2 linked regions of the Oryctolagus cuniculus genome follow. The protein of the gene in region 1 interacts with the protein of each later gene in a pairwise test. Links are inferred from orthologs where the notes say so. Each region holds a gene or a part of one and is shown in the gene's direction. Other genes may lie near its edges.

The links. The genes of interacting proteins can lie anywhere in the genome.
Region 2: the proteins of SPG21 (region 1) and DTX3L interact in binary tests that used the Homo sapiens proteins (3 or more experiments, as listed by UniProt). The two-hybrid records come from large-scale screens. The link is inferred for Oryctolagus cuniculus from reciprocal best matches to the Homo sapiens genes SPG21 and DTX3L.

The regions. Positions count from the first base shown.
Region 1 is NC_091443.1:87,993,174-87,999,744, reverse strand, and holds part of SPG21 (maspardin), read left to right. Parts: intron 1-598; coding exon 599-744; intron 745-4,647; coding exon 4,648-4,756; intron 4,757-6,110; coding exon 6,111-6,218; intron 6,219-6,571. UniProt on the Homo sapiens protein: May play a role as a negative regulatory factor in CD4-dependent T-cell activation.
Region 2 is NC_091435.1:78,771,921-78,778,452, forward strand, and holds the end of DTX3L (E3 ubiquitin-protein ligase DTX3L), read left to right. Parts: coding exon 1-1,672; intron 1,673-2,778; coding exon 2,779-2,996; intron 2,997-4,143; coding exon 4,144-4,234; downstream 4,235-6,532.

The DNA.
Region 1 (6,571 bases):
TAGCAGGCAGCTGAATAAGTGGAGGAGCTGGGACTTGAACCCAGGCACTGCTATAGGGGGTGCAGGCATCTCAAATGGTGACTTAATTGCTGCACCAAATGCCCAACCCTGAATTACAGTTTTCTTAAACATAAGCTACTAAGTGGTTTCAGTTTCTAATGCAGTTTGTGGATATTATTTTTAAGCTTATATTAACTTGGATGCACAGTTGTATTATTTCTTGATGGGGGTATGTAAGTTGCATATAAATGGTGTGTTTCCTAAATTTCTAACTGCCACAGGTAAAAGGTTACTTCAAAAAGTTCATGGAAAATGGAATTAGAAAATAAGTTTATTTTGGTGCAAAAAATTGAAATCCACAAACAATACATATTGTGAAAAACTATACATGGATTTCAGAATTTCTTTGCACCAAAATAAACTTCACATTTAATTCCCCACTTCCAATAACTTTTTGAGGTACTCGTGTGTTTCAGTCTGTTGACTAGTGATGACATTATGTTCTGTGGGTTGTAATAATTGAAGCAACTCTTTTTAAGTACTCATGTTCAGGATTGATTGGTATTTTAGGATCTGCCTTATGTTTGTTTATAATTAGGTTCATCTTTTTGGGGCTTCTTTGGGAGGCTTTTTGGCCCAGAAATTTGCTGAATATACTCACAAGTCTCCCAGAGTCCATTCCCTCATCCTCTGCAATGCCTTCAGTGACACGTCTATCTTTAACCAGACTTGGACCGCAAACAGGTGAGAACGTAAACATCAATCCAGAAATGCTTGCTGCTTTTGTTCAGTGGAATTTTGAAAATGCTGACTTTGGGGGTTTTTAGTGCAATAGAGAGGGAAGACTCGTATCACCTTCTGTCTTCTGAAACTCTCCTGGCCTTTAAAATGAGAAACACTCGCCTTTGAGGAAAGAAAAGAGTTGTGTGAGTTTTAATTTCAACTATCTCCGTTACTCTGAATCATCATCTAATACTTTTTTTTTGACAGGCAGAGTGGACAGTGAGAGAGAGAGAGAGACAGAAAGAAAGGTCTTCCTTTGCCGTTGGTTCACCCTCCAATGGCCACCGCGGCCAGCGCACCGCGCTGATCCGATGGCAGGAGCCAGGTACTTATCCTGGTCTCCCATGGGGTGCAGGGCCCAAGGACTTGGGCCATCCTCCACTGCACTCCCTGGCCACAGCAGAGAGCTGGCCTGGAAGAGGGGCAACCGGGACAGAATCCAGCGCCCTGACTGGGACTAGAACCCAGTGTGCCGGCGCCGCAAGGCGGAAGACTAGCCTAGTGAACTGCGGCGCCGGCCACATTTTTTTTGAAGATTTTATTTATTTATTTGAAAGTCAGAGTTACACAGAGAGAGGAGAGGCAGAGAGAGAGGTCTTCCATCCATTGGTTCACTCCCCAGTTGGCCGCAATGGCCTGAGCTATGCCCATCCTAAGCCAGGAGCTAGGAGCCTCCTCCAGGTCTCCCATGCAGGTGCAGGGGCCCAAGGACTTGGGCCATCCTCTACTGCTTTCCCAGGCCACAGCAGAGAGCTGGATCGGAAGTGGAGCAGCCAGGTTTTGAACCGGCACCCATATGGGATGCTGGCATCTCAGGCCAGGGTATTAACCCGCTGTACTACAGCGTTGGCCCGTCTAATACACACTTACATGCTTTTTCTGTTCTCCTCAGTGCTCCTGTGTAACTGAATGGCGGTCTGCTTGTCCCACTTACTGTTTGTTTGTTTTAAAGAATTATTTTATTTATTTGAAAGACAGAGTTACAGAGAGAGGTAGAGCCAGAGAGAGAGAATGAGAAGTCTTCCATTCTGCTGGTTCACTCCCCAGATGAATTCAATGACCCAAGCTGAGCCAATTTGAAGCTAAGAACCAGGAGCCTCCGCTGGGTCTCCAACACAGGTGCAGGAGCTCAACGACCTGGGCCATCTTCCACTGCCTTCCCAGGCCATAGCAGAGAGCCGGATCGGAAGAGAAGTAGCCAGGACTTGAACTGGCACCCATAGACGATGCCGGCACTGCAGGCTGGGGCACCACTGCACCACAGTGCTGGCCCCCTCACTTAGTGTTTTGTGTTAAACTTTTGAGCATCACCTGACACAATTTTCCTGGGCACTTGGCTTTCCCTGTGTCTCATGTTCCACTGTAAATCGGGTACACATTAGTCTTCTCCCTTTGTTTCCTGGGTTCCTTCTTTGAGATGTGTTCCCATTCTGAAGACGGGGGCACTTAGTCCCTCAGTGGCTGCACTTGGTGTCACTCTGTTCCTCAGAAGGGCGGGCGTGCAGCAGCAGGGCGCCTGTCTCCTGGATAGGTGTCCAGTGGGTCACTGAAGCTGGCTTTGTGTGTGCGTCTGTCACTGCCAGCAGGCTCAGCCCTGCCCTAAAAAAGCCCAGCGATAAATGCATCTCTGTGATCAGGTTCGTTTTCAAATACTGTTACAAGTAGACATTGTTTTCACGGTATTCACAGTTTTAAAATTTTTTTATTTTGTAATTTTTTAAGGTGAACACATTCCATGTATTTCATATAGACAGATTTAGGAGCCTGGTGATACTTCCCACTCTACCCTCTCTCCTCACATTTTTATAGCTTTGCAGTCTGATATTTTTGTTTTATTTTATTATTTAAAAAATTCATTTAAGAAGCAGACAGACAAAGACAAGACGAATAGAGCTGCCGGCTGCTGATTCACTCCCCAGGTGCCCACAACAGCCAGGGCTGGAGCCAGGAGCTGGGAACTCGTGCCAGCTCTCCCACACGGGTGGCAGGGAGTCAACTATTTGAGCCGTCCCAGCCACCTGCCAGGGTCTGCACTGCTGGGGAACTGGAATCAGGAGGCAGAGCTGGGAGTCCAGCCCAGGCGCTCGGGTGTGGGCCGTGTCATTTCAAGCAGCATCTTGATCACTAAGCGAATGGCGCGCTACCCTGGTGTCTCAGAACTTTTCCTGCTGTGCTCTCAGGAGTTGATTTTCTCAGTTCTCCTGCAGCTTATATACGTTAGCTGCGTGCAGATACTTCGCTTCCAGATGATAAAATCAAGCCCACTGGTTATTTTGATGGTGTTTATTTTTCCAATAACAGAAGAACAGAGTACCATGACTGTCCTCACTTCATTGCTGCTTTTGCATATCAGCTGCTTTTTATTAAACATGTGAGCACTTAGTAAGAGCTACACACTGAGATACAGGGGTGAGCAGAGCCAGCAGGGTCGTCCTTCTCAGGGTGTACATAGCCATCGTTGCCATTAAAAGATAAACTGGGGTAGAGTGGGTAAAGCTGCCGCCTGCGATGCTGGAATCCCATGTGAGTGCCGGTTTGAGTCCCAGCTGCTCCACTTCTGATCCAGCTCCCTACTAATGTGCCTGGGAAAGCAGTGGAAGATGGCCCACATGCTCCATGCTCCCTGCACCTGCATGGGAGACCCAGAAGCTCCTGACTCCTGACTTCTGACCAGTTCAGCTCTGCCTGTTGCAGCCGCCTGCGGAGTGAACCAGCAGATGGAAGACTTCTCTGTCTCTCTCTCTCTTAACTACCTTTCAAAAAAAAAAAAAAAAAAAAAAAAAAAAGATAAACCAGTAGAGGTGGGAGAAAACTTGGAGAGTTGACTGGAAGATGGTTCAGTGATCCTTGGGAGGGCAGCTCAGCTTCCAGCAAGGCCATTCTAATGAGAGTAAGCATCAAGATGTCTGCACCACGATACATCAGTGTAGTTAGGGAAATTAGCGTTTATCCTCCATAATGACTCGTTTTGAAATTAATAGAATAAGTATCAGTTAAAGATCATGTACAGAAATCCATAGAGATCAAATTGCCTTGAATTAGGCTCATTGAATATAATGGTAGCAAATTTTGGGAGGCGGAGTAACTTTCATTTGGTATTTTGAAATGATTTGAAGTATCAATCAAAAGGTGACATCAACCAGAAAGCAAGAATATTTCTCTTAATACTACTTTTTCCAAAGGAAGTGGTTTAACACAGTTAGAAAAAAAATCTTGGAGTCACAAGACTATCTCGGTAAAGGCCTCTGGAGATATTGCTAATAATTATTCTAAATTATCAAGTAAAATTTCATTAAAATGTAACTCTTTTGGCATCTTGGGAAAGTATATATAAAACATAGATGCTGGGGCTGGTGCTGTGGCATAGCAGGTAAAGCCGCTGCCTGCAGTGCCGGCATCCCATGTGGGTGCCAGTTCAAGTCCCAGCTGCTCCACTTCCAATCCAGCTCCCTGCTATGGCCTGGGAAAGCAGTGGAAGATGGCCCAAGTCCTTGGGCCCCTGCACCAACGTGGGAGACCTGGAGGAAGCTCCTGACTGCTGGCTTAGATTGGCACAACTCCAGCTGTTGTGGCCCTCTGGGGAGTGAACCAGTGGATGGAAGATACTCTCTCTGTCTCTGTCCCTGTCTCTCTCTGCTTCTCCTTCTCTCTTTGTGTAACTCTGACTTTCAAATAAAATAAGTAAATCTTAAAAAAAAAAACAAAAAACAAAAAAAAAAACAAACTAGAAGCTGAGCTCTTTGCAGGAAGGGACTAGGTCTTCTCATCTCTCTGGATTCCCAGCAGCTAGCTATTACAAATGTTGAAGATTTGTCCTCTATGTGTAGTCTTAGAAGTTTAAATGAAAAGGTCTTTATTTTTCAGCTTTTGGCTGATGCCAGCATTTATGCTCAAAAAAATAGTTCTTGGAAACTTTTCTTCTGGCCCAGTGGACCCTATGATGGCCAACGCCATTGACTTCATGGTGGACAGGGTAAGTAAGGATCACAGCTCCCGTACCAGGAAGCTTCATGTCCACTTGGTTCCTGAAGATCTGTTACCTCACCGAGCGTGTGTCAGAGGTAACTACTCCGCAGTCTTCCGTGTTAAGTTTAATTCGTCTGAACGACAACTGCTGGTGAGGGACTGGCTGCACTGGTGCTTCCTGGTTGCTGCTCATCAGCATTCCTTAGGGAGCTGTCAGCTATACAGATTCCAGGGGCAGGCATTTGGCCTAGCGGTTAAGATGCCAGCATCCCACATCCCACATCCCACATGGAGTGTGTGAGTTCAATACCTGCTCCAGTCTGACTCCTGCTTCCTGCTAACGCTCACCCTGGGAGGCAGTGGTGATGGCTCAAGTGACTGGGTTCCTGCTACTACACAAGAGACCTGGGTTGTGGTTGTGGCTTGGCTCCCAGCTTGTCCTGGCGCAGCCCTGACTGTTGCAGGCATTGGGTAGTGAACGAGCAGATGGGGGAGCCCTCACTCGCTCTCGCTCGCTCACTCTCTCTGCCTTTATGCCTCTCAAATAAATAAATTAAAAAAATACGTATTCTGGGGTGGTGCTGTGGTACAGCAGAGTAAGCCACTTTTTGGGACACTTGCGTCCCATGTCAGAGTGCCTGGTTCAAGCCCTGGCTCCTCCATGCTTCTGATGTAGCTTCTTGCTAGTGTACCTGGGAGGCAACAGGTGATGGCTCAAGTGACTGGGCCCCTCCTGCCCACGTGGGAGACCCAGTTGGAGTTCCAAGCTCCTGGCTTCAGCGTGGTCCAGCCCCCACTGTTGTAGGCATTCGGGGAGTAAACCAGAAGATGGAAGATCCCCCACCCGGTCACTCTTCCTTTCAAGTAGAAGAAAAGAAATACTAAAAACAAATACAGAGTCCAAGGACTCACACCAGACACACATCTGGAATCCCTGGGCGTGGGATCTGAATCTGTGTACTTCACCTCCCTCTCCCACCTCCCAGATCAATTTGATGAACCAGCTCCGTAGGCTTGCATTTGGGAACCACTGGGCAAGATGATTTCTGGGGTTCTTACTGCTTTTCCACCACTGTTGGGCTCCAGGAGTTGGCTTGCCGTCCCCGGGCACCTGGTTGAGGCAGGCAGCTTAGGTTGAGGGCTCTAGTTGGCCAGTTTGAGTTAGATGAACGTTGTCCAGGCTCCCAGAATAGGAAAAGGCTGCTGCCTGGGGGGCCTTGTTCATGGTCTCTCAGACACTGTGTCTCCTCGTTGGTGACTTTTCTGGCCCCACCATACATGATACCTGTGAAGTCTGTGGGTTTAATGTGAATGTGAAAAGTGAAATAATTTCCAAACATTACCTGTGCTTCTTCTTGCAGCTGGAAAGTTTGGGTCAGAGTGAACTGGCTTCCAGGCTTACCCTGAATTGTCAGAATTCTTACGTGGAACCTCATAAAATTCGGGACATCCCCGTGACCATCATGGATGTAAGCTTCCTTACAGCTATTCTATGGCTTCCAGTGTGCATCTTCACATGCTGTGTGGGCTGTTGATCTTCACTCCCCAGCCTTCTCGATTTCAAAATAATCCGTAATAGCTTGTCCTGGATTTTTCCTGGCAGGAATAACACCACTGAAATCAAAATAGATGTAAATGAACAATGATAGGTAGTCTTGATCTGTTTGGGTGTCTTTGCTTTCCCATCAACAGAATCATGATGTACAAAAAGAGAGTGCCTCACACGGACTAAGACTTAAAGGGTCCATGAAGTCTCATTAGCACAAAAGTGTCCTTTTTTGTTTTGGTAAAATATACATACGAAAGTTTTTGAGGACACAGT
Region 2 (6,532 bases), on another chromosome or scaffold:
CTCCAAAGAGCAGAGAGCACACATCACCACGCTCTGCCCCGAGGTGAAAGTCATGGAGGGTCGGAACGGAATTGAGAAGGTGTGTGGTGACTTCCGAACGATGGAAACAATACATGAGTTCCTGAGTGAGCAGCTCCTGCAGAGCGAGCCATCTCCTCTGACAGCAGAGAGGAAGCCACTTGATAAGCAGCACCGGGACAGCCGGGATAGCTGGGACAGCCGGGATAGCCGGGATAGCCGGGACAGCCGCGTGGCTCCTTCCGAACCTAACAAGGGGTCCGAAGGAGAGAGCAGCCTCGCTGAAGGCCCCTTGTCTTTGCCTGAAGCAAGTCTAGCCCCTTACATCACATCTACAAAGAGGAAGCCACTTGCTCAGCAGGACCGGGGCAGCCGCATGGCTCCTTCCAAAGCAAACACTGGGTCGGAAGAAAGAAGCAACTGTTTTGAAGTCCCTGAGCCTTTGTTTGAATATTTCAAATACGTCTGTCCTCATAAAACAGACTCCATAAAGCGAAGATTTGGTGTCGATCTCAGATTTCATACGAGTTCCCCCGGGGTGGTCTATTTAGACTTCGTTTCAAGTCCATCAGGCGACCTAGAAGGAGGTCGTGAGTCTTTTGTAAGTGAATTCCAGAAGGTCACAGAATCTCTGAAGCAAGATTGTGTCTCTTTAGCCGACAGTGCACAGGCAAATAAAATGAAACAGGAATTGAATCATCATTTCACAAAACTCCTTGTAAAGGAGAACGGAAGAAAATTAACTCTCCTCGGGACCCAAGATGACATTTCAGCTGCCAAACAGAAAATCTCTGAGAGCCTTGTCAAGGCACCTGTGAAAATCCTGGCTCCCAGTCGCATGGTAGATGGGATTGAGGTTGACACTGCTTGCTATAAGCTTTTAGAGACTCAATTACTCCAGGACATCGCAGAGATAGAGAAAAAGTACAACGCTGACTGTAAGAGTTTGCGGAGAAGTCAGAACACCTGCATTCTCTTTGAGCCCAAGGAGAGGGAGCTAGATCTATCTGAGCATGCGTATGCCAGTTTCATCGATGCCTTCCAGCACGCCTCGTGTCAGCTGACAAAAGAAGTTCTGTCACTGAAACATCTGGGCAAGGAGAGAAAGCACTTCCGGAGCACTAAGTTTACCGATGACTTTGAGAGAAATCATCCAGAGCTACACTTGGCGTTCACTTCAAAGTCAATGACTTTGACTGGTTTGCCAGTTCACCTTGCAAAGGCAAAGCAGTATGTCCTGCAGAAAAGTGGGCTGTCTCCATCGGCTGGAGAGAAATCGAATGAGGATCATGAAGCACCCATGGAAATCGATAGTAATGGCTCAGAACCAGCGTCACCTCTATCAAAGGACTCTGTGGGTCCTGGGGCCTCGGGACTGGACGAGAAGGAAAAGGAGATCTGTATCATCTGCATGGATGCCATTACAGACAAACGCGTGCTGCCCCAGTGCAAGCATGAGTTCTGCAGTCCGTGTATCAGCAAAGCCCTGTCCTATAGACCGGCCTGTCCTGTGTGTCAGGTCTCCTATGGTATGCAGAAAGGGAATCAGCCAGAAGGAACCATGGTCCACAGTGTATCAAGATACTCACTTCCAGGTTATACTTCCTGTGGCTCCATTGTGATCACCTACACAATGAAAGGAGGCATACAGACAGTAAGTGTCGCTAAGGGCCAGGGTTTCTCTCTGCTCTGCCAGGATTGCCAGAGCAAAAGATGTTGCCCTCCTGCCTGTTTGACAGTGGACTTCCCAAGGAGTTAGTTATTCCATGGTCAAATGCAAGAGACTAAACTAGTGATAAAGGTCACAGTGTTTGCCTGTAACTCAGATATCATTTGTGTCTATTTTGTTTTCTATTTTTATTTATATATTATTTATTTGGAAAGCAGAGCAACACACAGAGAGATCTTCCATCCTCTGGTTATTCCCAGATGCCTTCAATAGCCAGGGATGGGCCAGACTGAGGCCGGGAGGCCAAAACTCAATCCAGGTTTCCCTCTTGGGTGGCAGGGATCCCACCCCTTGAGCCATCACTTGCTTCCTCGCAAGATTAACAGGAAGCCACAGTTGGGAGCAGAATCAGAACTCAAACCGAGGCACTCCTACATGGGATGCAGGCCCTAAGTAGCATTTTAACCACTGCACCGAAACCCTGCCCTGGTATCTATTTCTTTTCTTCACTCCCTCCCTTCCTTCCTTCCTTTTTTGAAATATTTATTTATTTGAAAGGCAGAGTTATAGAGAGGCAGAGAGAGAGAGAGAGAGAGAGAGAGTCTTCCATCTGCTGGTTTACTCCCCAGATGGCTGCAATGGCCAGAGCTGCACCAATTTGAAGCCAGGAGCCAGGAGCTTCTTCTGGGTCTCCTAAGTGGGTGCATGGGCCCAAGCACTTGGGCCATTGCAGAGAGCTGGATCAAAAGTGGAGCAGCCAGGACACAAACTGGTGCCCATATGGGATGTTGGCATTGCAGGTGGCGGCTTTACCCACACCAGCCCCTGGTGTCTATTTCTTAAGGCAGAGAAAGGGTGAATAGAGATTATATGTTAGGATGAAGGTGGGGACAGAGGAGACAGGAGGATGGATAATGTTCCCAGCATGAATTTGAAGAAAGAGAAAAAGTGTAAACCATGAGAATATGACCCAAACAATACCTTTCTTTCTTTCTTTTGATTTGCTTTCCCTACAAGTTAATACATCCGTACATGTAGTGGAATTTTGAAAGCGGACTGTTCTCATGTGACGTTTTCTTGTCTTCACATAGAAAGAGCACCCAAACCCAGGAAGGAGTTATCCTGGAACACAGCGAACCGCGTACCTGCCTGATAATAGGGAGGGAAGAGAGGTGCTGGAGCTGCTCCGGATGGCCTTTGATCAGAAGCTGATTTTCACAGTGGGGGAATCGCGAGCCTTGGGCACCCCAGATGTCATTACATGGAACGACATCCACCACAAAACATCCCGTCATGGAGGACCAGAAAAGTGAGAGCCTTTCAGTAGTATAATGGTTGCTAAACAAGAGTTTAGAGATTGTGCGATCCAGAAATTCGGGGCTGTGGCTGCAAGGAGACTTTATAGTGGTCGTGTTGGGGACTGTAGAATATTTTGTGAGATGCTAATCTGGGAGGCTAGCCTCAAAGACAGGAAGGTTGGTGTCCAAAGCCCTCTACCCTGCCAGCCACAAAGCAGTCTGCAGTTCTTAAATTTTGCGTCAAGGGGCGGAAGGCTTCAGAACCCAAGGTGAATAGTGTCTAAGATGATGTGATTTGGGGCTTCTTGTCGATTTGAAGGCTAAATCCTTCAAATGCTATTTGTTTTGCTTTCTTTTAAGGTCACTTTCTCCCTCCTCCTTGTCCCCCATTAATCCACAGAGAAGCTGAACCCTCTTGGCCAATGGCATTAATAGAAAAAGTCTTGGTTGTAACTCATATATCTCAGATCCTAGCATTAAAAAATACATTCTAAGGCCTTTTCAAATTCCTACATTTGTAAATATTATTAGCAAATGATTATGGACACCCCCTTCCCCATGCTCACAATAAACTGAAAATAAAAAAGAGGCTGGTTAAAAGGCAGATGCTGGTCAGGTGCCTGGACTCAGCCAAGAGCTGGATGTCCCACATCTGCACACACAAGAGTGGTTGTAAGTCAGTCAACTGCCTTCAAGATTGCCTGTGAATGTTGGCAGTCCTGAGTATTAAGTCCTCAGATGCCAAAGGCCTACTGTACAGATTTTTTTTTTTTTTTGACAGGCAGAGTGGACAGTGAGAGAGAGAGACAGAGAGAAAGGTCTTCCTTTGCCGTTGGTTCACCCTCCAATGGCCGCCGCTGCAGCCGGCGCACCACGCTGATCCGATGGCAGGAGCCAGGATCCAGGTGCTTTTCCTGGTCTCCCATGGGGTGCAGGGCCCAAGCACCTGGGCCATCCTCCACTGCACTCCCTGGCCATAGCAGAGAGCTGGCCTGGAAGAGGGGCAACCGGGACAGAATCCGGCGCCCTGACCGGGACTAGAACCCGGTGTGCCGGCGCCGCAAGGTGGAGGATTAGCCTATTGAGCCACGGCGCCGGCCCTGTACAGATTCTTAAGAACCATTTGTGATGAAACTAAAGGGATTTTTCCTTCTGCAGCTATGGCTACCCTGATCCTGATTATTTGAAACGTGTCAAAGAGGAGCTGAAGGCAAAAGGAATCACGAAACCCGCGGGAAGGAGATCTTAGAGCCACACTCAAAAGGTGCACTTTGGGAGACTTGGTTAGCGCTGCTCCAACACCGGCCGTAGAAACACGTTCTAGAAGGTTTCGTCTCCAGAAGGGATTTCTCTAAGAAAAAAGATGCTGCTACTCTGTCATTTCTGGAGCGTTGTTCTTTTGTGGAAGACGAAAGTCCTGAGGATCTGTGTGATTTGGCTGCGGCAGTGTGTGTCTCCTTTTCCTGTCATCGCGGCGTCCGGGTGCCCTGAGGTCACGTGTGTCCTGCATTGGGGCTCCTGACCATCCACTGGGACTGTTCTCATTGCCATCGCTTGGGTGCTCTTTCAGTGTTTTGTTTCTTTTCCTCTTAATCTCTACTGCTGAAAGTGAAATCCTAGTGCAATTGGAAAAACAAAAGGCTCTGATGGTGGAAAGTTAGAGACCCATATTCTCCCCCTCCTCCATCACAAGGAAAGTGGCCAGAAGCAGAGCCTGGGGGAGTTTGGTAATAAATGGAATAAGATTATCTTGAACAACAGAGCTTGGTATACATTGGGTGCCTAATACATTTTCTTGCCTGATTCAAGTTGCTGGTAACCCAGCAGGGAGATATGTGGTCCCTAAGTCTTTGGCAGAAGCAGGAATAAAGAAACCACTTCTGAGTTCCTACCCCTGACTCAGAAATGAGTTTTTCACTCTGCAATATTTTGATGTCTAAACTGTAACCGGGCCCCTAACTTGGGCCTTGCTTCCTCGGTCCTTTTAACCTGCTCTGTTGGGCACATTTGCCCTGCCATAGTTTCTGGACATTTTTCTTTTCTTGTGGGCATTATTGGACTTTGGAGTATAGGCTGCTTCCAGTTTCAACAAATAAATATTTTAGATGCTAATCATGTATCATTTTATAGTAACTTTAATCCCCACTACAGTAGTTTCATCCCCTTATTAAATCCTTCCAATTCATGTTTTGTCCCTTAGAAGCTTTCAAATATTCTCTCTGAACAAAGGAAATGCCAAGAGTTGAGCCTACTATCGGGAATGTATGACATGTCAGATTTTACTTTTAAATGGTTTTCCACTTCAGAAGAAAATTATAATAGCAAAGGTTATCTTTGTCCCAATCTCTCTCCAAAAATGATGAACAAGATATCTTGTTCTTTTTCTAAACACACACACACACACACACACTTTTTGGTCAGGTAATAAGTACAAATGGAACACTCACTTTGTTTTCATTATAAGAGCTTCACATCTCTGTGGTTGATATAATTAGTGTCCCTTCTGTATGACAAAATAACTGGTGTACAAGAGGACAAGTTAGTAGGTGGAGGTGCTGGGATCTGAACTTGGTATTCTGGCTCTAGCACTTCTGCACGCCAGGACGTGCTGCCTCCTGCAGGGAGCCGCCTAAGCAGCTCCCACTGCTCTGGCCTTCTCTCAGAAAGGGATCTTCCAGTCTTCAAAGCAAATATCCTGCAACAATGTCCTATTAGAAGAACTTAAAAACCCAGACTCTTTTCCATCATCCAGGAAATTGAGGAAGTTTAATCCAAAGGATGTCTTTTATTTTATTTTATTTTTTAAAGAATCCAATTGTATGTTGAGTTTTCTGATGTTTCATTCAATTCTTTACCATTAGGATAACCGACTGCTTTCTGTCTAGTGATCTATCTGCATGATAAAGTCTGGTTCCCACTAAGTTGTGAATCTTCCACTGCCGCTCGTATACAGGCTTCAGGGTGTGCATTTGGAAGACAGTACTTGCTCTTTGAAGGGTGTTATCACCTGGATCTGATTTAAATAAAGTTCCATCCACATTTGGAGCTGAGTGTGTACTTTCCCTCACTCCGTTTTTCCGTTTCAGGTTGAGATTCTGGGTGTTTCCTGTAACACATTCAGCATACAATATTATGCAATGCGTGGCTGTCTTCCGTTGGTTTTGTGCATAGCTGTTTACTAAACATTATCACAGTAGAACTTTGCTGTTGACTTCACTGCTGACATTTCCCATTGTGAAAGAATTCTCAACATTTTCTTTCTTTTTTATATTTTTAGTTATTTTTCATTTTGTTTGAAAGCCAGAGACACAGCAACACACAGAGGGTCAAAAAGATCTTCCGTCTGCTGGTTCACCTCAAATGCCCACAACAGCCAGGCTGAAGTCAGGATCCTAGAACTCAATCCAAGCCTCCCATATGGGTGGCAGAGACCCAAGTACTTGAGCCATCATCTGTTGCCTCCCAGGGTGCACATTAATAGAAATGCTGGATCCAAAGTGGAGTCCACAAGATTCAAGCCAGGCATCTTGAGATGCAGCAACCTGGG